Rhinolophus ferrumequinum: one gene and its partners. The protein of the gene in region 3 purifies or fractionates together with the protein of the main gene of each other region. This does not show direct contact. Links are inferred from orthologs where the notes say so. Each region holds a gene or a part of one and is shown on either strand. Other genes may lie near its edges.

Region 1 (10,414 bases), on a different chromosome or scaffold from region 3:
AGTAAGTCCATGTGTGGGCCCTTTAAAAAGAGGAACTCCTGGGACACCAGCTGCCTTCCATCTCACTCAGCCACAATCTCCACTGGGTTTCACAGCCAGAAGTTATGGGGACTTTTCTCCCTGGCACTGGAACCCTGGTGTGGGGCTGCGATGCCTCCCTCCCCAGAGCGGACTTCCGCAGCTGAGATATCCCACCCCATTCTTAACTGCCACACATAGATGTGGGACCAGCCTATTCCGTGTTTATGCTCCTCCTGCCAGTCTCCACGTGGCTTCTTCTGTATGTCCTTAGTTGTAGGGCTTTGGTTCAGCTAGATGTCAGGCGATTCTGTGATGGCTGTTCTGTAGTTTAGTTGTGATTTTGATGTGGTCATGGAGGAGGCGAGAACAGCATTTACCTACTCTGCCACTCTCACAGGAAGCTTCTCCCATAATATTCTTAATGCTTTTAATTGGTTATCACTTTTCTCATTTCTAATTTATTTTGCATTCAAGTTAAGAAAGTAATATATTCACTTTGTTAGTTTTTAAAACCACCCTTATATTTGGCTAGTTTAACACATTTTTCCTGTTTCCATTATGTTTGGCTCTCCCATCTTTTGCAACTTCTTTGTTCCTTTTCTTAAATTCTTAAGACTAGTGTATTGAAATTGAAGTTTTTTAAATAGGTATGGATTATCTTCACCTCCACTTTCTTTATCATCTTAAATTCTTTTTCATTTTAATGACTAATTTTTAGGTCTATTTCAGGCATTTTTGCTGGATTTAAACTTTAGGATCCACTCAATACCACTTTGCTATATTGAAAAAAAGTATATAGTATATATCTCAAATACACACACACACACACACACACACACAAACACACACACACCAATTCACGACTTCTCTATTTTTAGTAAGGTGTAAATTACTTAAATCTTTCTTGTTTCCTTTTCCTCACATATGGAAGAGCAATAAAAGATTATTCAGAGTATATTTTGCCCTAGTAACATCTGTATTTTTATAACACGATGTTCACATCAAAGGGTACATTATTAAAAAGCCTTATTTTGTGAAAAGTTAGCCAAATTCTGCTTCATGAGCTCTAAGACCTAATAGCTCTAAGCTATTATTTATTTTCAATTACTCTTAATCTTAACATATCTCTGATTCAATAAAGTGCGAGACCAATTTCTGTATACTTTTCTTCACCTTCAACACTAGACTGGTTTTCATGAGCATTTTTCCTCCTCTAGTACCCACACTCTTCCAACAGTTAATGTTAATGGAAAGATTTTGAAATCATGAAAGCCTGGATTCCAGTGTTGTCTCTTCCACATATCAGACTCTGAGCAAATTACTGTCTTTATTACCGCTTTGAAAATGTGTTCAACAACATCTGCCTCATCGGGTTGTTGAGAGTCTGTAATGAGAGAGCACAGTGAGTGCCCAGCAGGTAGTAAGTCAATGCTCTGTTCCAGAACAAGAACTGCCACTGAACAGTTCTTTTCCTACAAGATTACCATTCTCTGAGAAATGGGAACAGGGGACTGAAAGGGAAGGGAGTTTGCCCCTTCTGACAGCTCCACAGGCTTTCAACACTGGAGTAACAACAGCTTTATGGCTTCTGGTGGTTTTGTGAAAAACAAGTATTTCTATCCTCTAGATAACAGCCAAGAGGCAGAAGCAATTATGGAGGTGGTGACCTCACTATTTGTGGGGCGGGACACAACCGAAGGGACATGATAAAGCCTCCTCTGATTCACTCCCATCGATTGTAGTTAGCGCTGCTAATTACAGAGGTAGAGCCAACAAGTGGAATGTTCATTCTCACTGAGAAACCTCGGGCAAACAATCCCAGGTTAAAAACAACTCACTTGGTTTCTCCTTGAAATTTCACAACAGTCAGTATGAAGTATCTGTTTCCTGGAGCAATTTATTTTTTTCTCTTGTCCTGAGTTACTTGTTGGAAATTCTTTTCTTTCAGGTGACAGATATGGGTTCTGTAAAAATTTTCTGAAGTATTAAATCAGAACCAATATTATTCCCTAGACTTTTTTTGGACTGAACCTCCAAAGAATGAGCTCTTCAACAACTAACTGAAGATTGTGTGGTGACATTGCCTCATTGGTTACAAGGGTCAAGCAGGAGAATTAAACCACAAGACTTATTGTAAACATCATACCTTCACAAATAAAGGATCATGTAAAGCTAACCTTTTAATTAGACAAATGTATTTTATCGTATTGGCATTTGCATTAATTGCTATTGCTAGCATGTATATGTTTATATTATATACAAAAGGCCCACATAATTTACTCTGTGTTTTATTCAGAAGTGGTAGCAACTATAACAACTGCAAAGTAAAATATTCCTTAGATATTGTCATTGTCACAATAAAATCTGAAGGTCATTAGCAGACACAATATTACCTTCCTTTAAGCACAGTTGCTAATGTGGAATCCTCACATACATATCAATACTAAAATAAAGCTAACCTGTTTAAGATTCTGGATTATGGAGTATATTCTGAAACAAAGTCCAATAACCAATAAATCAGTTACTGATAGGTTAACAAAGACATCCATGACTGAATGTCTCAAACAGAATTAAAAACATCTGCATAGCACTCATCATATAACCACTTCTAATTAATCATCTAAGAAACGGTCGTTTCAATGAGAATATTCTGATTCTAGGATGGAGACCCAAAGTAGCATTTCCAATTTGCTTTTTTCTAATCTTGAAGGTGCTTCCCTGGGCTTTCTAGGTTTTTGCTTCATTCAGCGGATTCTAGTTTGGCCATTATTATATTATTGGTTCCAGGAGCCTCTGGTTGCTTATCATCACCATCAAAGACAATGTCTTCTGGATTTGGAGGTGGGGGGCAGAATTCTTCACCTGGAAAGATCTCCTGGAAAAGTGTTTCAGCTTGCTTGACTGCATGCTCATTTCCTAGTCCACAGTCAGGCCCAGAGCAGACATACACATTGGAAGGTAAGCCACTATATGAGCTTCTGCTGACTCCTGAGGAATCTCTCATATTAAAATAGAGAGCCCACAAGACTCTTGGCTTTGTAAGTTCTTTATCTATTTCAGTTTCAGCATATGGGGTGAACAATTTGTTTACCACTGATTCTAAGTCTTCTCTTGCTGTTTTAGAAGACGAACAGGTCAGATGTATCAGATAGGTGTCTTTCATACATGTCATGGTTGAAGAACATAATTCAGTGACCCGAACAGCACACATGCCGGGTTCTACTGGAGGCACTATCAAAATGGAAATCTGCTGATCTGAATCTGTCTTTAGTACAGACTGATCTGTAATGAGCACTGCCCTGGAGATCTGCCTGTACTGCACATTTGAGCATGTTTCCTCAGAAAGGTAACTATCCTCCACAATAAAATACTTAGCATTTATTCTTTGACCAACGTGATCTATAATTGCTTTGCATCTGCCAGATTCTTTGTCAACTACAAGGCATTGTACTTTATGGCGAAGACAATAGATTCCACCAAAAACTGCACACATCCTGCAGAAACACTGGGGAATTTCCCCTTGGCCATACAAGGGAAATAAAAACGGAGTGTTGCCGAACCGTCCAAGACACTGAAGAAAGTTTTTTGTTGCTCTAAGGCCATCTATTGTAGTACAGGATGACTCTGTCATTGCAATTGAGTGTAGTACAAAATGCTGAAGGTTGGGGGTTAATTTTTTAGTTTTTAAGTACTCTGAAAATGAACACTGTATGAAATCTTGGTATTCATCGGGATGTTGTTCATAGTCTAAACAAAATGTAAGAAACTTCATTAGCATCCTCTTTTCAACCATAGTGAGTTCTTTGCTATTAAATACATCTGCTCTGGAACAAGGCACCTGTTCTACTTTTCCTTCTCGAAATGTAAGAATCCTAGTGACATTTTTAAATTCAGCATAACGACTAACATTTGATTTGATTAAAAGATCAATTAGCAGTCCTTGAGAATATAGCAGCTTTGATACTAAGTCAATATTAAACTTTCTGCCTTCTTTAACTATTTGAGAGTAAGTAATCCTATTTCTCTTTGGTCGATCAGTGTTGTCTTCCACTATAGGTTTGTTTTCATCTTTATCTCCTCCTGCAATGGTGTGCATACAAGTTTTATCTCCACAATATTTTTCTTTCACCTGAGTTTCCTCTATCCCAGTTACTTCTAGTAAAATCTCTCCATCAGTTTTTGGAGTGTCTTTGACAGACATTCCGTAGCTCGTACCATATAATGAGTGTGTTTCTTCAGACAAGCATGCAGAATCCAGAGGTTTAGTAAGGGTACCAGATGCTACCAAGGAAGGATTTTTCTGCAGACGATCAATCTCTTCAATATTGTCATCCATGTCCTGACTGGCGTAACAAAACACTTCTGTGTGTTGAATGGTTTCATCCTTCCTATGAAGAGTGATGGCTTCTTCTGTTTCGTGAATCAGATCTTGCCATGTAGTAGTACTTTTGTCCCCAATGTCACTGTTTTGCTGATACTCCTTCAACCAGGAGAGCAATCCTGAAAAGGTGAAGCTAGCCCAGTTTCCTCCATAATAACTTCTTGAATCAACATGCAGAACCCTCTGACCACTTCTTGAACATGCAGCTGCAAGGATGGATTCAGGCAAACCTGTCCCTATAATAACCACATCAAACTCTGTAGGGAGACTGTCTGCCATCCTGAGAGGTAAAGTGTCTCGTGATGACTGCCGATGAAAGAAATGTGTATGAATCTAGGCTGAGGGCTCAGAAGAGGTGTGAATATGCTGAAATAAAATCTCTCTTTGTGATGTTCCAGTTCATCCCAGAAGTATCGAGGTTGCAGGTCCTAGCTGTACTGTTACCCCTTTTTAGTGTTTTGTTTTTGTTTTATTCCTTATAGATCAGTAGCACAAAAACATGATAAAGTACATCTAATCACATTTGAGAATACTAAAGCGGATGTGTAGTTTTCATTTCTGCATTTCATCTTAGCAGTAAATGTCAAAATGCATTACATATGCATTTGTGACTGGAACTCTTCTCTGAAAGAAGAAAATTCAAGAAATAATACAGTTGTAAACAAGATTAAGAGAAACATAATTTCATGCAACAGCGATTACAATCCATTGAAGCCTGACTTATTAGGACATAAGCTACTACTAAAGCAAGTCATTAAATGCTTTCTCACATATTTTCTAATTTCTTCAAAATTAACAATAGAGATATACTCCCCTCAAATCAGGCAATTCAATAATGAAGGATATAATAATGTCCCACCAAAACAAAGAACATAATGCCATTCTATAACTTCTGCTTTTAAGAAAACTAATATGTGAATAAAACTATACCCAAACGTGAGCTTAGACTATAGAAATGTGTAGCTCTGCTGTGTTTATGGAAACAGACTATATACGATGCGCACGCTGTTATGAGGAGAAATGTTTTGTGCCCAGTACCATCTGTGGGTGATTCCAGAACAGTTGAATAGAAGACTTTCCCACACCTCACTCACCACTAGGATCTCGTGGTGGCAACATGGGGCTATTTCAACTGAATTAACACATCAGTTTATTATAAAAGGATTAATTCAGTAAAAGAATAAGTCTACTGAAGGGAAAATGTATTTATAATAAATCTTTATGTGAGTATACATACGTACAGATATGTATTTTTAGGTATAAAAATTCTGGATTCAAATGTTAAAATATATTAACAAAAATAACACCTACTTCTAACATTTGAATAGGCTGACCTGCATTTTGACAGATTCACTCTGTAACCCTAAATCTCTGTGTCCCAATATAAAGATCTGTCTAAACATCTTCTGCCAAGAATAACATGTTTGCTGTTCTTGTTTTTGAAGGGGTAGGAGGTGGTACTTAAGAAAGGCCTATCACTGCTTATATTCCATGTGCAGAACATCTGTGTGGTGCTAGGTTTGGCCAGAGGTGGAGCAGCCAAGGGGGTAAAAGGCACACTCACCTGGAAGTCTGTAGGTTAAAGCACTACACACACCATACGCTAGGGGGCCCTGCTATTATCCATCACTGCAAAGTAAGAGACTTCTTTGAGCTTTGATTCTCCCCACTATTAAACTTACTGAAATCTAGACCATTACAAACTGGGCCTGCCTAGGCTAAGATGACTAATTATCTTGGACATTTGTAAAACAAGCCATTCCATCAAAACTTAGATTAAATTGACTAGTTCAATGAAGTGACTGGTCAGTTTAAGTGACATGGCTATCTTAACAGTCCTATATAGTCAAAGTCTCTGCCTCAAGAATATCTGGGAGTCCACTTGTTTTCAGCATTCCGTGAGAAACCAGAAATTGAACAGAATGAAGTGGTTGCCTGGCCTACTCATGTATGTATGTAAGTGTGTCTGAATTACTTATTCTGCCTTCTTCCAGGAGGGTGTGCAGAGGAAGACAGAACCCATTAGGGTATAAGAGGTGTAACCACAGTATGTGCTTTTTCTTGGCTTACAAAAGGGATAGAGCTGGGGATGAGAGTAAGAGAAGAGGATAGAAGACATAAGTGCTAAAACCAGGAACCTTTTAATCGACAACTATCAAAGGAATCCTCAAAATACACAGCAAGTAGGCAAGGCAATCTTAAAAATGATTTAGTCAATTATCCCATAATAGAGATATTATGATGGCTGAAGGGCTTAAGTGATGGGGAAGTCCCCACAATGGTTTTAGCCACAAGATCAAGAGTAGGAGCCACTCTCCTGCCATCAGGCCAGTGGTCTTTCCACGTGATAGGGCAGCCTCTCCAGAGGCCTCTGGAGCAAGCAGCCACTTTTGGCATTTTTATTTCCTCTCATGGTTGGTTAGATCTTGCTCAAGGATGACAAAGGGGAAAGCACCCCCTTTTTCTTTATCTTTAACTTTTATCTAAAAGCACAATCCTTAGAATTGACTTCAAAGAAATTCTTAATCTTTGCTGAGAATGTTTTAAACCATCCTAATCCCACTATTGACTTGTCTCCGAGGGTTTAAACAAGTCTCTTGATCTCTTACCCCAGCGTTTCCATTTCTAATTAAAATGCAGAGATAGTCACGGTTGAAACATTAACTAAATGTCCAGATAAACAGAGCAGTGGTCAGGGAAAATACCATGTGGTGAATATTTCTAGTAGTCTTAGATTATCCCTTCTGATCGGGATGGGATCTGAGTAGGGATGATGGAAGGAAAAAGGGTGGAAGAGACAAGAAGACACAGCAAGGTGGGGTCACAGAGGGAAGAGATGAGGAAGAGACTGAAAGTTGCTACAATAAAGAACTCAATATATACCCTTGTTTTCAAACTCCCATGCAGAGTTAAGATAGAAATAGAATTCCCCAGCACAGAAAGAGCACTTCTTAGAAATAAGGACTTTCACGTCTGTGACCAAACACCTCTTGTTCATCCTTGGGAGCATTATTGATGACACTTTAGGCTTGAGCTTGAATCACTCTCTTTAAAGCTCAGCCCTGCTTAAAAAAAATTGCCTGATAGGTATTTTAAATTAATATACAGTGTAATCACATAACCATCTATATCACTGCCTACATATACTTACAGCCCTCTACCAAGTTTCAAATCTTCATACAAATGAAATTCTCAGATTAATGCTTATTGGGGAGGGTAAAGGTAGTATTAGAATATTAGAATGATTGAGGAAATCAAACAAATGAAATCATGGTATCTATGGCTTTTTTGTTTCCTTCAAAATATCAAAAAATGAATCATTACAAATATAATCTTCCAGTTTGTCATAACATATGAGGTTGGTAAACAAGGAAATTTTGATAACGTTACAAAGATTTTGTTCTCAAAAACCTGCCAAAAGCAGTAAAAAAATTATCAACGGATTTCAGGATTTAAAAAAAAGAAAGCTTTAACACCTGAGAAACACACATTTCTATTTCAAATCTTCGTACAAATTAAATTCTGGAGCACACATAAAAAGATCATTTCTTTCCTGAACTTAGAAAATCACATCTTCATTGATATGCTGATGGATCCATCTTTCAAGTCTCAGTGAGACTTAAACCTTTGGTAAGGATTAGGAATACTGTTGAAATAAATCTTTAAAAATCAAGTTCTACTTCAATGAAATCTACTGGCTGTACAGCTAATTTTTTGTTCATCTGAGTTGAGATTCTGAGTTATTTGTAATCTCACTTTGGATTTTGATGTGCTGGAACCCCTAAGAAGGAAAATATAGTAAAAATAGCTTATCAGGCTCAAGTCAATTTGCATACTGACGACCCGAATGATCTCAATTCCTAGGAAGCATTCAAAAGTGTACAGTTGCTAATGAGCGAATTACACATTGCTGCTACTCTGTTAGGTTTCTACCCTCTCGTTTTAGGAAACAAACAGTATATAAAATCTCGTCTCATCACCCTCTACAACTTTCAGGAGTTCATCACTTTTGTTCTTGATTTTCTGACTCTCTAGTGCCTCGTTTCATTCCTCAAAGTGTAAAAGCCAACGTCTCGTGCCCTGTTGAATTACAGGGATGCAAACATAAAAGAGACAAGAGGGCCAGTGGCTGGACAGAGTTATGAAGGAGCTGGGGCTGATGACAGACGGGCTGAGGTGTCGGGTCCGCGTGGGTGTAGATCAGTGACCACAGGGGCGGAGTCGAGGTCAGCGTGGGGCAGTTAGAACTGAGGGAAGAAGGAACGCCATGCAGCTTGGGATCTAGGAGCGGGAGGGGAGGCGCAGCCGGAGCAGGGCGGTAGCGGGGGTGAGGTGAGGTTGGCTGGGTGGCAGGAGGAAGCGCAGAGACAGACGATGGCAATGCAGGGAATGGGAAATTGGCAGAGGACAGAGGGGTGCTTTCTCCTTCCGGCTCAACTCACCGAAGAGGCTGCTGCTAAACCCGTCCCACACGCAGCCCACGGAGTCCCAGACCCAGCCGTTCCGCAGGCAGGACACGAAGGTAAAGGTGACCCCGAAGAGGGACACCAGCAGGTCGCTGAGGCTGATGTTGACCAGGAAGAGGTGGATGGGAGTGCGGAGCTGCTGGAACTTGTAGTAAAGGACGAGCACCAGCAGGTTGTTGCCGACGCCCAGCAGCCCAATGGAGCCGAGCAGCAGCGCCAGGCGCTCGTAGGTGCCCGGGCTGAAGAGCGGGCCGGGGCTCAGCGTCGCCGCCAGCGCTGGCCGCTCGGCGCCCGCGGGCCCGCCGCTCTCCCACAGGCCCTGGCAGCCGTCGCACTTCCCCGGGAACATGGCCCCGCGCGCTCGGCGGGAGGCGCTCAGCGTTGGGTTCGGCCCGGGGCGTGCCGGGCACTGGGAGGGGCGCGGGCTCTGCCGCCGGCTCTGGCCATTGTGCGCGCTGGCACCGCCCTCCCCACCGCCCCTTCCGTCCGGCGCGGCCTCGTAGCCACGCCTCCTCCCCGTGGGCGCGTTCCCGCCGCTCCCCGGCCCGCAGCGCGCCCCCGTCGCCACGCCCCCCGCGCCCCTCGTCGCCACACCCCCCAGCGCGCGCTCGTGGCCACGTGGTCGCGTACTTGCCCCGCTTTTCCCGCCTCACGTCGCCAGGTCCCATCCGCTCCTGCCCCTGCAGGCGCCCGGGCGGACAAAGCAGCCGGGAGGCGAATCAACCGCAGCGGCTTCTCACACCCTGTCTCTCCCTCACCCAACTTGAAAGTATCACGTGCATTCACTCACTTACGCATTGGCTCATTCATAGACATTCATGAGTGCCTGTGCCTGCCCTGTGCTAAGGTGGTGATGGGATAAGGGACTCCCACCATAGGCTTCTCTCCTTCCCAGGAAGCGAGCCCACAACGCCACTCCCATCTCACACACAGCGGAAGCCCCCGGCTGGACCCCGAGGGCTGCCAACGTGGTCCTTCCTGGCCTGCTCTGAAGTAGCTGTAGAGACATCCTGTTGCCGAGGCCTGCCACAGCCCAGGCTGGCAGTGACTGCCCAGGCGGTGCCCTCAGAGCTTCAGCCTAAATCTAGCAGAGGTAGATCCTATATTTAGAACAGCACGCTTTTCCCCAGTAGCAATGAAAATATAGTACAAGTCAAATATAGGTTGTGAACGTCATCACTCTCTGCAAGAGCTGCACCTCTGTCTCTGCACAATCAGCCCCTAAACAAGGCCCCGCAGAAGGACCACAGCCCTGAGCCAGACCTGCAATCTGTCCTGGGCTCTGGTGACTAGCACAGTGGATGGAAGAGCAAAGGAATTGCCCTCCATGAGGGCGTTTATCCCTCTTACCTCTGTTTAGAAGGACCAGGAAAGAATGACTAGCTTCAATGAAGCTATTCCAAATCCAAATCCCAATCCATTCCAAATCCCCTGGTAATGGAATCTTGTCTTCAGATCAGGGTCAGCTCTCCACCCTGGTGCATTGAACAATAACTGAGAAGCAGTGAGCTCTGCCCTCAAAACCTTGATTTGTCTCTAAGCCTTC
Region 2 (9,990 bases), on a different chromosome or scaffold from region 3:
ATCCACCGATAGAGGAATACTAAATAAATCATGGTATATCCACAAAATGGAATTATACGAAGCCATTAAAAAGGAGGCATTCCTATATGTACTGAGAACAAAGGATCTCCCAAATATATTTAATGCAAAATAAAGGTATAAGGTGACAAATAATGTTTATAGCCTGCTACATTTGGTGCCAAAAAAGACAGGGATTACTGATACACACACACACACACACACACACACACACACACACAATCTCTAACAGGATTCATAAGAAACAGATAGTAGTGCTTATTTCTGGGGAGGACAACTGATGAGCAGGTAGGGTATGGAGACTTATTAGTCTTAATAGGCCTTGTATGACTTTTTGTGATGATTGGATTTTTTTATTAACCCTGTATGCATTACTTGTTGAATTATGCATATAGAACCAGCTGATGAAACAAGTTTGCTGAGCAATAAACTGATTTTATTCCCATTTAAAATAATACTCGTGTTGTTTTTTAAAGACTCTCTATATTTTATGATTCATCCATTCATTTAGCAGATTTTAAATTTTATTTATTTTTGGCAAATAAAAATTGTATATATTTAAGGTGTACAATGTGATGTTTTGATAGATGTATGCAGTGAAAATGATTACCACAAACTAACATATTAACCCCTTCCTACAATTACCATTTTTTGTGTGTGGTGAGAGCACCTGAGTTCTGCAATCTTAGTAAATTCCAAATACACAATACATTATTATTGACTATAGTCACCATGCTGTATATTAGGTATCCAGAACTTATTCATCTTATAACTGAAAATATGTACCTTTTCATCAATACCTCCCCAGCCTCTGATAATCACCATTCTACACTCTATTACTATGGATTTGACTTGTTTGTTTACTTATTTATTTATTTATTTATTTATTTTCCACATACAAAGGAGATCATGTGATATTTGTATTTCTGTGTCTGGCTTATTTCACTTAGCATAATGTTCTCCAGATTCATCCATGTTGTTGCAAAGAGCAGCATTTCCTTCTTTTAAAGTCTGAATAATATTCCATTATATGTATACACTACATTTTCTTTGTTCGTTCATCTGTCAACGAGCATTTAAGTTGTTTCCATATCTTGGCTATGTGAATAATGCTGCAATGAACATGGGAGTACAGATATCTCTTCAAGACAGTGATTTTATTTGCTTTGGATATATACCCAGAGGAGGGACTTCAGCAGATATTTTTGAGTGCCTATTATGTGTCAGGCAGGGTCTAAATAATGTATCGGGAATATAATGATGAATAATATAGGTATAGTCCTTGCCTTTGTGAAACTTAACTTCTAAGAAAATGGCAGATATAAAACAAGTAATTTTAATACTTGAAATTTTCAATACTTAATTTTGAAATAAGTAATTTCATATTTCTAATCATGAAAAGTTCAACAAAGGAGGGGTATGGGGTGTTAGAAGACCTAAGCTAGCTAGACTGTGCACTAAATGAAGACTTGCCAGAGTATGTGACCTTTCGAATGAACTGAAAAATGAGTAGAATTAAGGTAGTAGAAAGGGTAAAAATGCACCTCAGGCACATGGAAGAGCATGTTTCAAGTTCCTGAAGCAGGTAGGAGCATGGGGTATTAGAGGAAATGAAAGACAGCCAATGGCTGGAGCTTAGAGAGAAAAGGGTGTAAAATGAAACTAGAGAGTTTAGCCTGGCCTTTTAGACCATGTTTAAAATTTTGGAGTGTGTTTTAAGAGCAATGTGAAATCATGAAGGATTTAGGTCGAGGAGGACATGATCGGATTTGAATTTTTAAAAATTTACTCTACCTGCAGTGTGGAGAGTGGATTAGAGAGAAGCAACCACAATTATTTATGGACCCCTTATGGGGTCCAGCTGGGACCTGCTGTAGTATTCTAGGCAAGAGATTATGAGGGTAGTCCTGATTGAGAAGTGGATATATTTACAATATATCTTTGAGATAAATCTGGTAAGAATTGCCAATGAAATGGTTGAAGGGTGAAAGAGAATGATATATTAGGGATGATTCTTAAGTTTTTGACTTGAGGAACTGATTAGAAGGTGGTGTCATTTCTAAGGTAGGAAACATTGGATGAAGAGAATTGGGTGTGGGGTTGAAATGTTCAGGAATTCAGTAATGAACATGTTCAGAAGAGATGTTGAGTAAGGAGGGGTTGGATATATGTATGTGGAGCTCAAAGGAAAGGACAGGAATAGAGACCATCAAATTATAGGTTTGTAAAAAAGTAACACATCAGACTTCACAGTCGAGTACACTTATGAATAGAAGGAATTTGGTTTTCAACTCAGGAAACCACTAAGTATAAAATTAGTGTCACAGTGATTTAATCGGGTAGTCAGTTCACAGGTATCCATCATCGCATTGTACTGTGACTTATCCAATTAAAATATTTCAGTTCTCAAACATAGATGTCCGTAGAATAATGGAATAGACAGAAATTTTACTGACATTATCAACTCTTATATTCATCTTTACTTTGCAAAAAATGTATAAAAATACATTTGAAAGAACAGGTATTTTGAGCATTTTTTCCATGTAGAAGCTTTGACTATTTCTAATGTAATAATCTTTTCCCTGCTTAGAGAGGGTGTGATGACTTTAGAGAAAGAACAATTAAATATAGGCTGGCATTTTATCTTTCTGAGGGTCATGCTTTCTAGCCTCAGTGGGATTTGAAATTTGGGGTAAAACATGTTGGAAAACTAGCACTACAGAGTAATTATTTGTTTGTTTTGTTTTATTCCACTAGATGCAATGTTCATGATGATAGGGGATTTTGTCTGTTTTGTTCATTGCTGTAATCCCAGCTTCTAAATCAGTGCCTTGCACATAGTAGGTACTAAATGAATATTTAAGGAAAATCGAAAGTTAGATATAGTCATATTGAAAAGGATATACTATACGAGGTTGGACAATTAAGTTCGTGAACTCATCCTAGAAAAAGTGCTATATACCTCATTGCTGAATATCACTACGGTCACCTTTAAAGTACTCCCCTTGGAAGCTATGCACCGACACCAGCACCTAGTCCACCCTTCAAAGAAATTTTGGAACTCTTTTTCTGGAATGGCCATCAGAGCTGTCATTGTATTACCCTTGATGTCCTGAATGTCATTAAAATATCTTCCTTTCAATATTTCCTTTATCTTAAGGTAAGGAAAGAAGTCATTGGGGGCCAGATCAGGTGAGTAGGGAGGGTGTTCCAATACAGTTATTTGTTTACTGGTTAAAAACTCCCTCACAGACAGTGCCCTGTGAGCTGGTGCATTGTCATGATACAAGATTCATGAATTGTTGGCAAAAAGTTCAGTTCGTCTAACTTTTTCATGCAGCCTTTTCAGCACTTCCAAATAGTAAACTTGGTTAATTGTTTGTCCAGTTGGTACAAATTCATAATGAATAATCCTCTGATATCAAAAAAGGATAGCAACATCGTTGTAACAAGTTCGTGGACTTAATTGTCAGAACTTCTGTGTGTGTGTGTGTGTGTGTGTGTGTGTGTATACTTGCATATACATGTATACACATATATCTCCAAAGTAAGATAGAAATATTTTATCATGTTTTTAACCACCCATTTGTGGTTTCTCGCTGTTAGAGGAGATTTTGGAAAGTTTCCTGTGTTTACCCTGGGAAAACTATTAATTTCCATTTCCATTGGTGGTATTAAGAGTCTCACAGATAAGATCTATTTCACTTCTGATAATATTCATGTACAATGTTGCTAACGATTAGGGCAAAATGCAGCCCAAAACAGCAAAATACTATTTTCAAGAATTTTCCTGGAACTTTAATAAAGTAACAAAGATATCGAGTGTCTTCAAATGACGACACATGAGAGTGGTGCGCAAATATAAAAGCGAAGATTCAGTCCCTGTCTCCACAGTATTTACCATCTATTAGGGGAGTCAGGACTAAGCTCAGCTCATCAAACATTTGTTAAATTCCTACTACGTGCCAGGCTTACATTAGATGCAGGAATTAAAAACAAATAAGGCATGGTCCCTGTATTTTTGTGAGAATGTGTGGGAATATGGGTACTATATAGGAACCAATATAAATGCAAATACTTTCAGTGCAATATGGGAGGTTATGTCAGAGTGGTAGCGCTATGTAGGGAAATTTAACCAAATATAGGGAAGAGATGAAAGGAGGAGGTGGTATTATAGAAGCTGAACTGAATCTTGAGGACGAACGTTGCTAGAGAATGTGAAGATCATACCATGCAGAAGGAACAACAGAGTGACTGGGGAAACCACCAACATCTTGGAGGACAGGTGGTGTAAGGGAGGGTCCACTACTGCACTTTCTCTTCGAATTATTTTGAAAGTCTTGCAAAATAACTACACAACTAATTTCTGAGATCAAAAAGTACGGTCCCTCACTCCCATGCACACCCCGCCCCCTTTTGCTTTAGTATTTTCAGACAGCAAAGAATTTTATATAACGGGGTGGGAGGAGGCTGTCTTGAAAATACTTGTGAGAGCTATATCAGCTGCTTAGCATAGACAATCTAAACCACCTCATCAAATACAATCACCTTAATATAATGGCCATTTTATCTTGATCATTTCTGCAGTTGCTTATCAGGAGAATCTTGAATGTACTCCTCGTGTATGTATAGAAAACCAGATTCTGAATCAATAAACGCTTATCAAACAACTACTATGCTTTCATGTATTTCTTCCCTTCTGTAAAGAAAGGTTAATTTTGCCAATATATATCGCCGGGGTAGCTGTTTGGACCCACTAGAACCAATACAGACACGATGAGGGTTCCATTCTGGCGAAACAAGGGCGAGAAATTTTTCGTGAACTTTGTGGAGGAAACACAGAAACGAAAAAGATACAGGATATAGTCCGAAAGTACTGGTGTGAAAAATTATGCTTTGGGGGCCAAAACGAAAGTACAGACACGCTCGGGAAAACAGTTTCCAGGCTGGAATGACAAATTTCCTTTGTTCATAGAGCAATCCCTTTGCAATTTCACTCCGCCCTGCCTGTCTTCTAACAATTCTTGCTTCATCATTGTCAAGGGTTACCACGTCTTCTCACATTCATTCTAACCTTTGGGGTAAAAATCAACATGTGTTTTGTACTCCAAATCTCCAGGCTTAATGCGCTGTTGCACTCAGCCTGGAAAAGGAACTGAGCTTTTCACATTCCCGTAAATTTGTCATGCATAATGCTGTAGCCGCCTACCTGGATCCGCCACCCAAGAACTACAATACCCAGAATGCACTGCTTTCCCTTCCGCTTTCTACCAAGGCAATGCCAACCTTGATTTCATTTCCACAAGCAATAGTCACATGACACGTTTCCTGTCAAGATGGCGGATAATCTCCCTTCGGAGTTTGATGTGATCGTAATAGGGACGGGTATGTGTGGCTCTGGTACTTCCCGGACAAAGTATAGGAAGTCTATCTCGTTCCTACCTTATCTTGTCAGTGGCGAGGGTTGGCGAGAAATACCAGGGGTCGAGCATAGGAGGAAGGACGGAAAGGAAGTGAGGTAGTCTGGAGTCAGCGCGGGATTTAGCAGCTCCAGGGAGGGGCTTGGACCCGCGGTGTTTAGCGCCATTTGAGTAGGGGGTCGATCTGGTCGTGCCGATTGCTGAGGTTGGTTGCTGCGGGTGATTCCTGTAATTGCCTTAGAGGGAGGTGGGTTTGCAGTGCCACGAGAATGGAGGGTCGGGATTTTATCAATGGAGACGACTTTGGCATACGTTATGATTTCCTTCTTGTTGATTTCAAGGTGATATTCCCCATCATTTTGTCTCGCCATTTCATAGGAATTTTTCGTATATTTATATAATCCTAGGGTGCAGTGCAGCTCGGATACAGCTTAATCCTAAATTTTTCGCAAAAGATGCTCAGTTGTTACCCGTGTGCGTATTAATTTACTTTGGCGAGGAAACGGATTATTTTCTATTGTGTGGAGAAGCCTAGGGAATTGTATTTTTTTGAGGTAGCTATTATTCCTGCTTCATGGTGCAGAAAGAAAGCATTTTGCTTTCTACCACCCCACTGACCTACTCACAATTAAATGAGCTGAGAACAAGCTGTGAGTTCCAGTTCAGGTGTGTGATCTTATCTTCCCCTTGTTTTCCCATCGTTTATTTTCCATGTTTTGGGTGGAGCCAGAAACCCCTCTGCAATTTCTAGTTGACAAATTCTACATACAACACGTAGCAGAAGGCATTTGGCAGCAGTTGGTATTTTGTTTTTCTTAACAGTGTAAAGGGTGGATTTTAGATGGGGTGGAATAGGTTGTTGAGTGGGGATTTCTCCTGTCTGCAGAACGTGGTAGGCCAGAGAAGCTCTGGTAGAGTGAGACCCTGTCCATTGTGTTAATGAATTCAGTTCGTCTTAAAACAGTAGGAGCAGCCATGTTTCCAGGGCAGGAGTAAAAATAATGGCTACCTGTTTTCCAGTGTTTATTATTTGCTACTCCATGTGCTGAGCACTTTACAAGCTGTATGTAATCCTCACAACAACCTTGTTAAGAGTAGGTATTCCCTACACTTTGCAAGAGGACTTAGAAAGGTTGCAGTTTGCTCACAATCACATAGCTGGTAAATTTCCAAAGGCCCATTACATCCCAGAATGAGAATCAGTAGTTCAGACCCTCCGATTAACCCACATTAGTAAAGATAATTGGAAAAACTCGGTTCTAGACCTTGCTTGGCCATTAACTAGCTGTGTGAAATACTAGGGCTAGGCACTTAATTTCTCTGCTCCTCAGTTTCCTTGTTTTTGAATATAAGGAGGGTAATCTAGATAGTCTTTCGGTGTCATCTAACCAGAAATTCTCTTATTCTAGTTGTACCTGGGTAATTGTTCTCAGAACACCAAGAATGTTGTTTGTTCCCAGCCTGAAAACTGCATGGCTGCAGATAACCTGTTTGTAATTGCTATGAACAGATGTTGGATGAGAGCTGGAAGAAGCCAGTAGACTATTTATTAATGTATTCTCTTCAGTCTATCCTAAAACTGAGAACAACATCCATTTTAGAGTAGTTGTTGTACCATACTTGGGTTCTATATTATTGCCTTTCGTTTTTGTTACCGAAACACTTGGGGTGTTAAAATATCTTTTTGAATCATTAAGAGATTTTTTTTCTTACCTGGATTCATATTTTAATTGGCAATGGCACTATTTCTTATTGGTAAATGCTGTTAGTTCTTATAATAAATATTTTGCCTTCCAGTTCAATTCATAATATGGACTGCAACCATCCTGTTGGAGTATGTTATGATAGATGTAGGAAGATACTTTGAGTGATCAACAAATTACATCAGGAAGCATCTGTTATATCGGGAAAAAGATTCATTTTAGACTTAATTCAGTGAGAGTAATGTTATTTCTCAAAATATGGGAAGAACTTATTTGAAGTTAATCTTAAACATTAATGTTTTCATTATCACTTAATGGTGAACATATTCTGAGTTTATCAAGCACATTGCTTAAATTTATGGCATGAAGCTTTGTTTTTAGGTATGTCAAAGTGAAAAAATTGGATAAAAGTCATTTCCCAGATAAATTATTCTAATAATTCCAATCATTACTTAATTGGAATTTAATGTGTTTGGAATATTTCTCTTTTGAACTAGTTTGCTGAAAGTAGCCCTTAAATTGTATTTGTATTGCTAAATGTGCTGGTTTGAGTAAATCATAGGAAAAGCAGTATTTCATAGATTTAGTTTTACTGACAAAAGCAGAGTTAATCATGCATGTATCAGAAACAAGAAGAAATAATTGGGGTGGCCGGTTAGCTCAGTTGGTTAGAGTGTGGTGCTGGTAGCACCAAGGTTGTCGGTTTGATCCCTGCATGGGCCACTGTGAGCTGCACCCTCCTTAAAAACAAGGAAAAAGAAAAAGAAAAAGAAAAGAAATAGGCTGTGAGATGTAACTTTTCTTAAAACAGATTTAGTTCTATTAATAGTTACAATGTCATTAACAGATAATTGCTTCATCAAGTAAAATCATCTATGGAAAATATTTTAAATCCCTTTGACCTTGATTGATTTGTATTTCGTTTTGCATAACATAAGGTATTCCTTAAGATCCTGTTTTGAAGAGATTATGGGAAAATAAACTTTTGTATGTATTTTCTTAGTTAAGCCCATTTACTTCTAATTAGAATATACAAGAAATATCTGTGGAACACCCAAAGACAGAGTAGTTAAGATAAAGTACTTAAACCATGGAAAATACGGAAGAAAATGGAATAAGAGGAGAGCCAACTGGAGTCTCAAGGGAGAGGACAAAACTGGATATAAGTGATTAAGTGTCTAGAATGTCACCTTCAGTTTGGGTACACAATTGTCATTTTCAAGACATTTTGCCATTTAAAAAGACATTTATTTGAATGATAATTTTATGGGTTGTAGTATCATTGATTTCAGGTTAAAAATAGTCCCAGTAGCATAACACGTTACTGGAGGTGACTTACCTGGCAACCTGTGTAATCGCAATCTGCAGCAGAGCCAACAACTCAACAGAAGATCAGGCAAGATGGAAGTTACAAGAGCTACGTGATAATACTGACATGTTTCTTATTTAGGGGAATCCCTTAGACTCTTACTTAGGGCATTATTCATTCTTATTTTAGAAATAATTCTAGCAGCTCAGTGTATATTAGAAGCATCCTATTAAAAGATATGGGGAATGTTATCAGCTTCTGCAAAAGCTGTGTTTGGGGGATTTCATTAGATATAAGTGACCGTTCATATCCTTATGGGAAAGGGAAGAGTCTTAACACCTAAAATGCAAACCTACATCAAACAGCACAATGTCCTGGGACCATTTAGTGTAGTGACAAACACTCACTTTTCTGGGTTTTCAACCCACATTTACTGAGAACCTAATTACTGTCCTTGTGAAATTTACTGTATTGCTTAGTTTAAAGACCTGTTTGGGGCTCTGACATTCTCAGAGCTATTCATAAGCCAGGGTAGGCTTTTCATTGCATCCTTCTTACTTTCTGAACACCATATAGAGATTCAGTCTGCATCCCTTTCTTTTCTAAAGTACACCACACTGTATTTTGGAGTTCTTCCCCGAAGATGAGTTGTAGGATAGGCTAGCTTAATTTTTTTTTTTTTTGCAGAGGGTAAACACATAAATCCTTTTAAAAAGTTTTATTGCTAAAGATTATGGGGAAAGAAATGAGATAACCAGAATAACACACATGGAAATTACAAAGGTTGTTGTTCCTAAATCCTGACTACCTTGCTAGATAGTACTCCACAAGGTGCAATACTAGATATGGCGGCATGGCATAATTGGAATCACTTGACCTTCCTACTGGGTGACTTGGGGCAAATTGCATAACCTCTTGGGACGCATTTTGTTCATCTGCAAAATGAGAGATTTGCATTAAGTGACCTCTAAAGTAGGCATCTACCAGCTCAAAAATTTACCATTGTGTGTACATAATCATGACACTGGGTCCTTGAAAAAATGCTAAATTCTGTGTAGGCCTTATAAGAAGTCAAGTCAGTGTTTAATATACTTTAGAAAATTTTCTACCAAAATGGCTCATAAAAAACATTTTCTTGAAATTGATAAGCTACTTTTATCAGGAAAGGTCATGTAGGTTCCATTCCTTGATGCTAGTTGAGGATCAAAACTTTAAGGAAGTTAGCCTTGGCTGGCAGCTCATTGACTATAATGCTTATGGTGGTGGTGGATTAGCTTCACTTCTTCAAACACTGGGGAATAGGAATGCTGCAGGAGGTGTCATAGAAACTGATATTTACCAAATACCCGTTTGTCCCAGACTGTGCCAAGTGATTTCCCATATCTGTATCTCCTTTAATCCTCTTCCAGGATGCCTATATGTAGTCCTCTGCCTGCATTTCCAAACATCCATGGACTTATGGTCTAGAGCAGTTTATTTTTTTTTCTTTTTCTGTTTTTTAAATTAAATATATTGGGGTGACAATGGTTAGTAAAATTAC
Region 3 (10,139 bases):
GGGCAGGTTAGTGACACCGTCCAAGGACTCTATGGCATTGTCGTTGACCTGCAGCACCTGGGTAGCAGGGAGGAGAAGGCAGGGCAGGCAGCTGTCAGCCTGAGACTGGTGATTCATGCACTTATAGTGCATGGAAGGGCTCCTGCAGTCAGGCTCGGTGACAGAGGAGGCAGGCAGGGGTCATCTGCAGGGGCTGCGAGCACCTAGGCTCTCTTTGTAGGGTGGGCAGACTTCTGAGGTGGACGAAGAGGAAAAGGACCACTCAGGACAGTGACGGAGGAGTAAGTGCTTTACCTCAAGGCAGCGCAGGGCTGCCAGGGCAGGCGGCAGGGCTCGGAGACGATTGTTCGACAGGTCAAGATGAGTGACCAAGAGTAGCTGTTCCAGATGGCAGAGCACCGTCAGATCCTGAGGAGGGGGTGACAAGACCACCCAGTGGGGAGGGGCCTCAGCTATCATTTATCAGACACTTGCCCTCTGTGCCCCACAGAGGCCCGGGGGACCTCAGCTGAGGAGAGGATGGGGCAGGTGGGAAGCTTACCTTACAAGCCACCAGAGTACACACTCCAAGGACAGATGTGAGTACTGGGGTTGGTGGCCAGTGGTGTGGATGGAGTGGGGACAGGTAGAGGGGACAGAGGAGAGTGGGGGGGGAAACACAGATACTGGCGAGGAGCAGGCCTGGCGAGTTGAGCCCATTTGGTGGGAGCAGAGATGGGCTGCAGTGATGTGTTAGGAAGATTGGGAAGAACTACAAGCAGAGAAAGATAGTCTGTAAAGTTTGTGAGGAATCTCTGGGAATTATTCAGCCTTTAGATATTGCTCTGCTCCAATGAGCAGAGGAGGAAATGGCCAGAAAGGCACCTGAGACTGAAGGCAAAGCCAAGAGTGTGGAGAGGCTGGACAGAGAGGACGTCCGCGGAAGCCTAAGGACTGGAAAGAAAAGCTGGCCAGGCCATGAGGAAGAAGCGTGGCCCAGAGGGGAGGCCCGGGAAGCACACGGAGCCCATACCTTGTGAGCCAGTTGCAGCACGCGCACCTCCGCATACTCCATCTTGAGCACACTGTTCTCTACCAAGAACTTGCTGCGCAGGTCGTCCAGGTATGCTGCCCGCATTGGGTCCACAGCCTGGCAGGGATGGGGCCGGCAAGGAATTCGTGGCAGCTGCCTTCCTCCTGCCCCCGGGGCCATCCCCTTGCCGGTTCCCAAAGCCCCAGCTTGCCTTAAGGGTCTGGAAGTACTGCAGCATCTCCTTCTCATACAGGAGGGGGTCCAGCGCCCGCATCAGCAGGATGACAGTGAGCAGGCACCCTGAGAAGAGGGCGGGAACGGGACCGGCTCTCCTGGACCCTCCTCTGCTCCCATCCTCTTGAGACCCTTCCTGCTCTTCCCAAACCTCCCCTGCTCCGCTCTCCCAGAAAGGGGCCTCCTGAGAGGGGCAGGATCCCAGGGAATGGGGCCTCACATTTGTTCTCAGGCTCCAGCTCCTGCAGTTCCTTACAGGATTCAAGTTCGGACTGTAGCACGGTGGACTTCTCCACTGACAGCTCACACCTGAGGGTGAGTGGGGTGGGGGTGGGGGTTATTATGCTCATAGCCCTCGGCTACTGCCACACCCATATCCAGGCTGCGACCATCTAACCGATCCCCAGCCTCCCGCCCCAATGGCCGGATGCCCAGAGCCCACAGCCCACTCCTGTCGGTGTGCCTCCCTGTCATCACCTGAACAGCTGCTCATCTGTGGCCGAGTCCCGGCACCAGCCCTCTTGGTGGCCTGAAAGAAAGAACAGGGGCAGGGAGGGGACACCCATGAGAGGAAGAGGGATGCTGCAAGGGGTGGAAGCTGCAGGTTGCGTCACCTTTTAAGAGCACACACTCCTTCTGAGTATCGCCTGTTGTCCAAATGACACGAAATGTATGTTGGGGCTGCTGGTCATTGAGGGAGGTGCTGGGCAGGTCACAGATGTGGGAGCACTGGGTCAAGGAAATACCTGGCCATACCATTTTTCTGACTGTCCCACCATAGCCTTGCCCCAGCTCCCCAGTGCGCCCCACCAATTCTGGGATATCCAGACGTGGCTGGGCCGGTTCCTGCCATCTGGGGTCCTCCACTCCACAGCCAGGAGTGACTCATCAACAATAAGCAGCAAGGTCTCTGTCCTAGAGCCCACCTGGCACAGGGGACAAAAACAGACCTGTCAGTCCCAAAAGCACGAGGCCCATGATCCATGATACTCTGGCAAAAGCTGCAGGACTCACCAGGAGGGGTCGAGAGAAGGAGACAGTCAGACAGGCCTCGTCCCGGCTCACGTGCAGGCAATGCAGAGCATCCTGGGGATCAGCTGGCAGGAAGACACAGCCTGAGGTCTCCTTAAATCCTTTTCCTTTCCTTCCAAGCCCTCAAGACCCAGCCTCCTCCCCTACGGCTCACCTCGTCCCAGGAGCCAGCGGTGATAGAACCAGGCACTCTGATCATTGGGGTCAGTGAAGAAGGCATTCTGCACGAGTTCAAGCTCTGGGGGGGTCAAGGGGGCACAGGGCTGTGCTTAGGACCCTGGTGGGCTCTTAGCTGCCCCAACATCCCACGCTCTCCTCCCAGTACCTTCCGTCCTCAGTTTCACTATATGCGGGCCTGGCACAGCAGCTGCATATACCAGTTTTGTTTTCCCGATTGGACATTTGAGCTCCCTTCTGCCATGGACTGAATCTTATGTACCCCCCAGAGCCAGGCACGGAATAACTGCTCAGTAAATCCAAGTGCACGTTCAGGAACAGGACTAAGCTGGAATGGCAGTACTGCAGAGGCCTCCCCAGCACCCCCAACCCTGCTTACCTTTAAGCAGCACATCCTCAGGGAGGCGCCCGTGTGGTCCAAAGTCTGGCTGGGGGTGCAGCTGGGGCAGGAGGCAGGAGCGGTAATGCCAGGAGGAGTAGTTGGAGAAGTTTCGGGTGATGAGGCTGTCGGTGAAGGCTAGCTCCTCTGCAGGGGGCACAGCTGCCTGTGCAGCCACAAACCGCCGGTAGTCCCAGCAGTGAACTGGGGGAGGGGTGACAACACATCTCAGAAGCAGGGCAAGAGAAGCTCGCTGTCTGGTAGCCCTGGAGTTCCCTCAAAGGCCCCTAGAAACACCTCTATGCACTCCATGGAGGATGCATTTCGCTCCATCATCCCTTTTGTCATCAGTTCAGTGGGCCTGTCCTGACCATCCCTCCCAACTCTGGGCCTTACTGAGACCCCAGTACTAGGTTGTGGGGCAGGTGAAGGCTGTGGGGATAGACTCTGCAGGCACGTACAGTTCCGCTCATCAACCTCGAGGAAACGGGCACACAGCTCCAACTCCCGGGCCCAGTTGGGCTCTGGCAGGCGGCCCAGCAGCCAGCAGCGATGGTGCCAGGTACCATAGGACTTGGGGTTCACCCTCAGGCAGCTCTCCAGGAAGCCCAGTTCTGCCTTCACCAGAACAGCCAATTCCTCAGGGGACCTGCACCCAGAGGGGAATGGGGGTCAGGGCCCTCCAATACCCAACCGCAGCTTACACCTGACTTTCTGCACCCAGCCCTTCCACTGCCCTCTGCCTATGCCTCTGGCTGCCCCATTCCTCCTCCATCACTGGATCCAGGCAGGGCAGGGCCAGGGCTAGAGCCATCTTCCTGGGGCCCTGAACCCCTACACACTTCTGAGCCTCCAGGCGCTGGATCACCTCTCGTCGACAATTCCAGAGAGTGGCAAAGTCAGGGTTGGCTCCCAGAATCTGGCTTGTCAGTTCCAGCACTGATTCATCCAGCTCGCCAGCCTGGCGCTGAGAAGATAGGTAGCAGGATCAGAGATTGTTATCATTCTCACACTACAGGACTAAGTAACACAAATAGAAGTACAGAATTTTCTATAAATCTCATACAACAGGTACTATGTACAGATGTAAAGTGCTTCATGGGTTTACATATATTCTCTCATTTGATTTTCACAACAGCCTTATGCAGTAAGTGCAATTATTAGCCCGATTTTACAGATGAGCAAATTGAGGCCCAATAGAAATTCAGTACCTTTTCAAGGTCACATAGCTAAGCTAGTAAGGGATAGAACCCAGATACGGATCCAGGCAATCTGACTCTAAGGCCCAGTTCTTGGCCTCTCTGCTATATTAAAGGGGCTACCTAAAGAGAGGGCTACATCTGAGGGCCCCACCTTCTGGAAGACAGTCTGGGTGGCTGACTGGTATAGCTTCAGCTTCTGTTCACGCTCTAGCCTTTTGGCCTCCGCCTGCTCTTCTGAAGTCTTCACCTTCAGGCGGCCGTGCTACAGGGAAAGGCAAAAGGCAGGTTGGAAGGGTGCGGGCTGTCTTGCATGGATGGGCAGGCCCACTGAATCCCCACTAAAGAGCCCCAGGTTTATAAAGGGAAATCGAGAGGCAAGACCACTGGGGCAAGGGCAGGGGCATGCAGAAGTGGGGGGCTGAGCTCTGGGTTCTCACCATGGTGTCGGCTCAGGGTTCAGGATAGGGGAGGGATCCAGAAGTAGCCCGTGAAACCTAGGGGGAAAAGTGTCAATCATGGGAGCCCCGCCCCTGCGAGGCCGGCCTCCAGTTATCCCGCGGAAGCCGCACGCGAGCCGAGACAGAGACCCTCGGGGTGTTAAGGGGTTCTGGGCAGGCATTGCACGTCCAGAGGCAGCGCCCACCCGGACTGGGACTTTCACTCCTGCGGCCCTGCCCACAGCTGCCTGTGCCGGGACCGAACCCAAGCCGGGGCACTTGGGCGGTGGAAACCACTCCGCGCCCGGAGCCTGCAGCCACCCGCCCGCCCCACAGTCCCAGGCACTCCCGCCCCGCGCGGGCCGACCCACCTGCGCTGGGAGGCGGCGGCGGGGACGCGGAGTTGCGGCACCCGCCACCGAGCCCAGGCGCTGGCTAGAGCGGCGCCCAGCCCCGGCTCTCCGAGGTGCAGCGCCCTCTGCAGGCCTGCGGAGGCCCCGGGCGGAGTAGGTGGGCTTCGCAGGCGCGTGCGCGGGGTCCGGAAACGCCAAGGCCCGGTTTGCCCGCTGGCAAGTATGAGTGCGCAAGCGCGGCGACTGCGGTCTGAGTCAGCTACTCCAATCGCAATTCAGTTGAAAAGGTTTCTCCGACAGCCGAAAGCCACGCCCTCACGACTCCGCTGACCTTCCTCTGGCTTCACTGACTACATCCCAGTTGCCAGATCTAATGGATGGAGTTTCCTGTCCTTATCTTCCTTGACCTTTGCATCTGAGGCTACTGATTTCGATTTGACACCCTGTTCTGGCTACTGCACCTTTGCCCCTCTGTTCTCCCCTAAATATTGATGATCTCCAAGGCCCTTTCCTCACCCCTTTTCACTTCACTCTCTGTTGTCTGGAGAACGTTCATGAATTGAACGTTCATGAGTTGAAGCTCCCCAGAGCTGTGTCCTGGGCTCACGGATCTTCCTGCCCACACTTTCTCTGGGTGATTTCATCCACACTGATGGTTTTAATTACTACCTGTAGGCTGATGGCACTCCAACTTGTATCTCCAGCCCAGATGTTTTGCAAGCTTTAATAATGAATGAAAAATGGGTATGTGCGCGCGCACACACACACACACACACACACACACACATTCAAAAACCTATTGTTTATCACGTGGGTGTCCCAGAGACATCTCAAATTCCAAGAGTCAAAAGGTATTGTCTTCCCTCCATTCAGTCTAAACTTTAGCCTTTATGTTTCCTACCGTAGTGAATGGCACTATTCTCTTCCCATTTCCCCTTAATATCTCTTAAATACCCTCCCTATTCCCACTGCACTAAGAATTTAAGCTCATTTCTTCCCTGGGTTGTTGAAAGTCTTTTCCTTGTTCCCCTATCTCCACCCTGTCCCATCTATTAACAGTTCATCCTCTGTGCTGCTAGATCAGTCTTTCTAAAATGCTGGTTTGATCATGTCACATCTCTGCTTAAAAGCCTTCCATGGCTCCTGACAAATTTTCAAGACAGACTTTGAATCTCTCAGATTAGCACAACAGGCCTTTTGGCACTGGGCCCTGCCTCATGTCCTGCCCGTCCCTGTTAAATACTCTTCATCACAGCGGATAGGACTAGTACTTGCAGCTTCCCAAACATGTTAATCTGTTCCCTCTTCTTGACTCTCCTTCCTTTTCCAGGCAACTCCTGTTCATCTTTGAGATTTAACTCAAGTGTCACCACCAGGAAGTTCTCCAAAATGCCCCAGTCTGATTTAGAAGACCTTCATATGTGCTGTCAAAGATAGTGCTTGTTTCTCTGTGCCTACTATAAATCTTGGTTTGTACGCCAGCATCTCCTATCAGATTCAAAGTTCCTGGAGCACAAGAACAACACTTTTGGTCTTGCCTCTCTGCTACCTAGCCTTGGTTCTTAGTAGTTATTGGGTATTTATTTGAATGAATGAACAAACACCATGTAGTGAGGGCTGGTTTGGCTGGGCCTAATAGTGAGTACGGTTGGTGTTTGGGGATGGGAGAGAGCATGTGGTTTGGGCCAGCTCAGGAAGGTTTCCTGGTGGAGACTTCATGGGGTTCAAGGTGATAGGGAGTGTGTATGTGTGTGTGATGTATTTGTAAGAAGTATATGTTCAGGTAGTATGTGTATGTTTATAACTCACATCTGGGTAAGACAGTCTGGCTTTCAGTTCTTTGTATTTCTTCCACATCTTTTTAATAAAACCTACCTGCTAGAGTTGAAGTGAAGATTCAATAAAATAATGTATGTAAAGTGCTTAGAACAGTGCCTGCACTAAGCAAGGCAGTGCAGTAATAAATAGTAATAGTAATTTTCTAATTTTTGTGACAAATATGCAAGGAAATTGAGTCTCAGAAAGACTAAGTAAATTGCTAAATGCCAGTGATATAGTAAGTGGCCAAATGGGACTTGTATTTGGTCTGGTCCAGCACTCGCACCTCACAAATGCATTATTTTTTTTGGAGTGGCGGGCACCACCCGCTCTTGCTTCCTGTTCTATACACACTCACATTTACAACCAGATACCTGGGAAGATAGATGCCCACAGGTGCAGATTGGCCAGGTACAGTCTTACCTCATAGTCATGAGGGAAGAAAAAAGGGTGGATAAAGGCTGAAGCAGGCATGAAATACTTTTTAGTAATTAGCGATCTTGAAACTGGGAACGATGAGTCAACCAGGCTTAAGGGAGGAAGTGAGTCTCATGAACAAATCTGCTTCCGAGAAGGTAGGGCCTGGTTGTTGGAAAGAGAGGGCAGGAAGGGAATTTCAGGTGTGCACTATGACGTGAAGGTGGGGGCGAGAAACCAAACAGACTTACGTAGCTAGCAGACAGGTGAGCCAGGTGCCTTTGGCAAGCAGAGCAGTGGAACTAATGACAAGCCTCTTGCTTTAAGGCAAATGGAGCTATCAGGAGTTATTTCTGGCCTCTGTGTGGGATAAGTGGGAAGCATGCAGGTGTCTGAGGGCCATGACCTGAATGATGTTTGAGGAAGCGATTTTACTGCCTTCTATGTAGAGAAAGGAACAAGCAATAATTGAGTTTCAACTGAGCCCCAGACATCTTATTTAATGTACTCTCTACATATGTAAAGTGGGTATTATTATCCATATTTTACAATGAGGAAACAATGCATACGGTGGAAGTGACCGAGGTTAAGTTGCTTGCCCAAGGTCACACAGCTGGGAGGAAACAGCCAGAATTCAAACCAAAACCTGGGAGCCTGCCCACTGCATACGTGGGAGCGGCCATTGACAGAGCTCCAACTTGAGTTTCTTGAGGCCAGGAACCCTGGTGTCTCTTCACAATGACCATCTCTTGCCCCATCAATACTTTCTCTACTCCTACTCCTCAACACACACACACACACACACACACACACACACACACACACACACTTCTAGGACCCTGAGTCATGGACCATAGATGGTTTGGAGGGAGGAAAGAGACCTTGAGCCCTGGGTTGAACTCTGGAGGCAGGGAGAGGGAGAAAGACACAGGTATTGGAGCTGGTGTGGGGTCTTGTGCAGTGTGTGCATTAATTCAATCTGTTGATAGGTATTGAGCATCAGAGCTGGGCCCGAGGGCATGCTGGGTGCCAGGGATCCAGCGCAGGACCAGAAAGACGTGGTCTCTGCCTTCCTGGAGCGCATATCTAGCGTAGCATTTTGCTAGAGTAGAACTTGATGTGATGTAGAAATAGTCAATATCTTTGCCATCCAAGAAGGTCAACACTAGCCCCATGTGTTTGTTAAGCACTTGAAATGTGGCCAGTGCAACTAAAGAAATGAAATTTTAATTTAATTTAACTTTAATTTATTGAAATTTAAATAACCACATGGGGCTAGTGGTTACTATTGGACAGGACAGTTCTCATGGGTGAGACGGACATGTCAGCATATAAGCTAGAGTCGGACAGGAGCCCATGGGGGTCCACACAAGGGGCCCCTGACCCAGACTGAGCTCAAGAGGAGTTTGTTCTAGATCTGGTGATATGTAATGGTTTCCAATTTTTTCCTTAAACTTCTGATATTTCTTTTTTTTCTTCCTGTAAAACTTGTCAATTAAGCACACATATATCCTAAAAGTACACAAATCGTTAGTGTACAGCTTTGATCCTGCTGTTTTAAACACTCCAGCCATAGATAGGTACGGGGCAGGGGGTTATCGGGTGCCAGAACACAGGGAATGGAGGTGAATGTTGGACGGGGTTCAGAAAAACCCCTCCTCAGGGATATTCAGGCAGAACCTGAAATCCAATGCGAGTCCCCACAGTCTTGCTAGCTAGGGGATGGGGGTGTGGGGAGGGGATGAGAAGAGGACTATTTAGGACTTGGTAGCAGGTGGGACTGAGACGCAGGGACGTGGGCGACTTTGATGCCGACCTGTAGATGGTAAAGCTGAGGGACTTGAGAATGTGTGGTGTGCACAGAGGTCTTGGAACAGGGGTGGGGGTAGAGAGTGTTACGTGAGAAGAGAAAGGCTACTTCTACCTAACACGTTTGGGTTGCTGTGGCGATGTCCTGAAGCCGCAAGAAATACGTGCCTGGAGAGGGGTCTAGAGGGCAAGGCAGAAAGTGTCAGCGTGGGCGCAGGCAGTAATTACACCCGGCAGGAATGGGCACTCCAGGAGGGGGGATGAGGGAACCCACAAACAAGCTGTGGCAGAGTCATGGTGAGGGTAGGACGGGGGTGGGGTGGGGTAGGGGTGGGAGTGGGTGGGGTGCAGGGTGGGAAAGTCTCAATGGGGAAGCAAAGAAAGAAATGGACTTTGAGGAGAGGTTCTATGAACTTGAAGCCAGTATTAATAAGAAATAATAATGACTAAATGTTTTACAGTCATAATGAAACTGAGACTCTGCCCAAGGTCACGCAACTCATAAACCATAAGGCCTGGTTTCATGCCCCGACTGTCCGATTCCAGAAGACAGGTTCTTGCTCACTTTCCCTCCAGCCTAGTCTTGCCCACTGGTCTCTCCTGTAGCCGGCAAAGGCAGAGAGTGGGGAGGAAGGTGAGAGGAGTGTGGAAATGCCTCAGACTTCTGGAAAGCTGGGGTGGGTGTGCTGGAGGGCCTGATGGGGAAGGAAGCCAGCAAGGAAAACTCAAGCCTAAAGAGGTGTATCTTTGTGGGGCCGTAGGTCAGCGGTTACCATGTGATCAGTAGTTAGACATATGGATGGGAGCAGCCAGGCATTTGCGGGGAAATCAAATGTTGGGAAGTCTGAGGGTCAGCTTAGGTTGTGGTAAAAGAATTGCAAGTGGAAGAGCTGAGCAGGGAAGCTGAAGTACAGCAGGAAGGGTAATGTTGGAGCTTCCCCATGGCCTGGGCAGAAGTGCACACTTCTTATCTCTTGTAACATGGACCCTCCTCTGCCTCAGTTTCCTGACTTTCTAACCCTGACTACCACGAACAGAACATCAGAGCTGGAGAGATCTTGACAGATCATCTGGCCCCCTGCTCATTTCCCAGCAGCCCTGTAATGGAAAAGCTCAGTTTTTCACCTTCTGTGTAGGAAAAAACCCAGTTCTTCTCTACTAGGAGTCTTTCACCTGCGAGTCTCCTTTACTACTCACACAGAACACTTCACTTCTGACACTGCTGGTCACCAACTGCGGGGAGGTTTCCCCCTATGACAAGTAATTCTC

Evidence for each region.
Region 1: the proteins of RABGGTA (region 3) and CHML purify together in Homo sapiens (co-immunoprecipitation; 3 studies listed by BioGRID and IntAct, counting the BioPlex papers as one, with this or other methods). This does not show direct contact. The link is inferred for Rhinolophus ferrumequinum from reciprocal best matches to the Homo sapiens genes RABGGTA and CHML.
Region 2: the proteins of RABGGTA (region 3) and CHM purify together in Homo sapiens (co-immunoprecipitation; 4 studies listed by BioGRID and IntAct, counting the BioPlex papers as one, with this or other methods). This does not show direct contact. The link is inferred for Rhinolophus ferrumequinum from reciprocal best matches to the Homo sapiens genes RABGGTA and CHM.

Annotation. Positions count from the first base shown.
Region 1 is NC_046310.1:18,519,055-18,529,468, reverse strand, and holds CHML (rab proteins geranylgeranyltransferase component A 2), read right to left. Parts: upstream 4,971-10,414; 5' UTR 4,682-4,970; coding exon 2,762-4,681; 3' UTR 1,870-2,761; downstream 1-1,869. Other genes in the region: OPN3 (opsin-3), read right to left, coding at 8,845-9,217. UniProt on the Homo sapiens protein: Substrate-binding subunit (component A) of the Rab geranylgeranyltransferase (GGTase) complex. Binds unprenylated Rab proteins and presents the substrate peptide to the catalytic component B.
Region 2 is NC_046284.1:68,793,228-68,803,217, forward strand, and holds the start of CHM (rab proteins geranylgeranyltransferase component A 1), read left to right. Parts: upstream 1-5,304; 5' UTR 5,305-5,354; coding exon 5,355-5,403; intron 5,404-9,990. UniProt on the Homo sapiens protein: Substrate-binding subunit of the Rab geranylgeranyltransferase (GGTase) complex.
Region 3 is NC_046289.1:74,411,035-74,421,173, forward strand, and holds the start of RABGGTA (geranylgeranyl transferase type-2 subunit alpha), read right to left. Parts: upstream 5,077-10,139; 5' UTR 4,845-5,076; intron 4,531-4,844; 5' UTR 4,477-4,530; coding exon 4,474-4,476; intron 4,299-4,473; coding exon 4,188-4,298; intron 3,802-4,187; coding exon 3,677-3,801; intron 3,484-3,676; coding exon 3,296-3,483; intron 3,039-3,295; coding exon 2,835-3,038; intron 2,517-2,834; coding exon 2,433-2,516; intron 2,344-2,432; coding exon 2,261-2,343; intron 2,173-2,260; coding exon 2,071-2,172; intron 1,967-2,070; coding exon 1,861-1,966; intron 1,776-1,860; coding exon 1,724-1,775; intron 1,556-1,723; coding exon 1,467-1,555; intron 1,313-1,466; coding exon 1,224-1,312; intron 1,130-1,223; coding exon 1,013-1,129; intron 409-1,012; coding exon 295-408; intron 58-294; coding exon 1-57. UniProt on the Homo sapiens protein: Catalyzes the transfer of a geranylgeranyl moiety from geranylgeranyl diphosphate to both cysteines of Rab proteins with the C-terminal sequence -XXCC, -XCXC and -CCXX, such as RAB1A, RAB3A, RAB5A and RAB7A.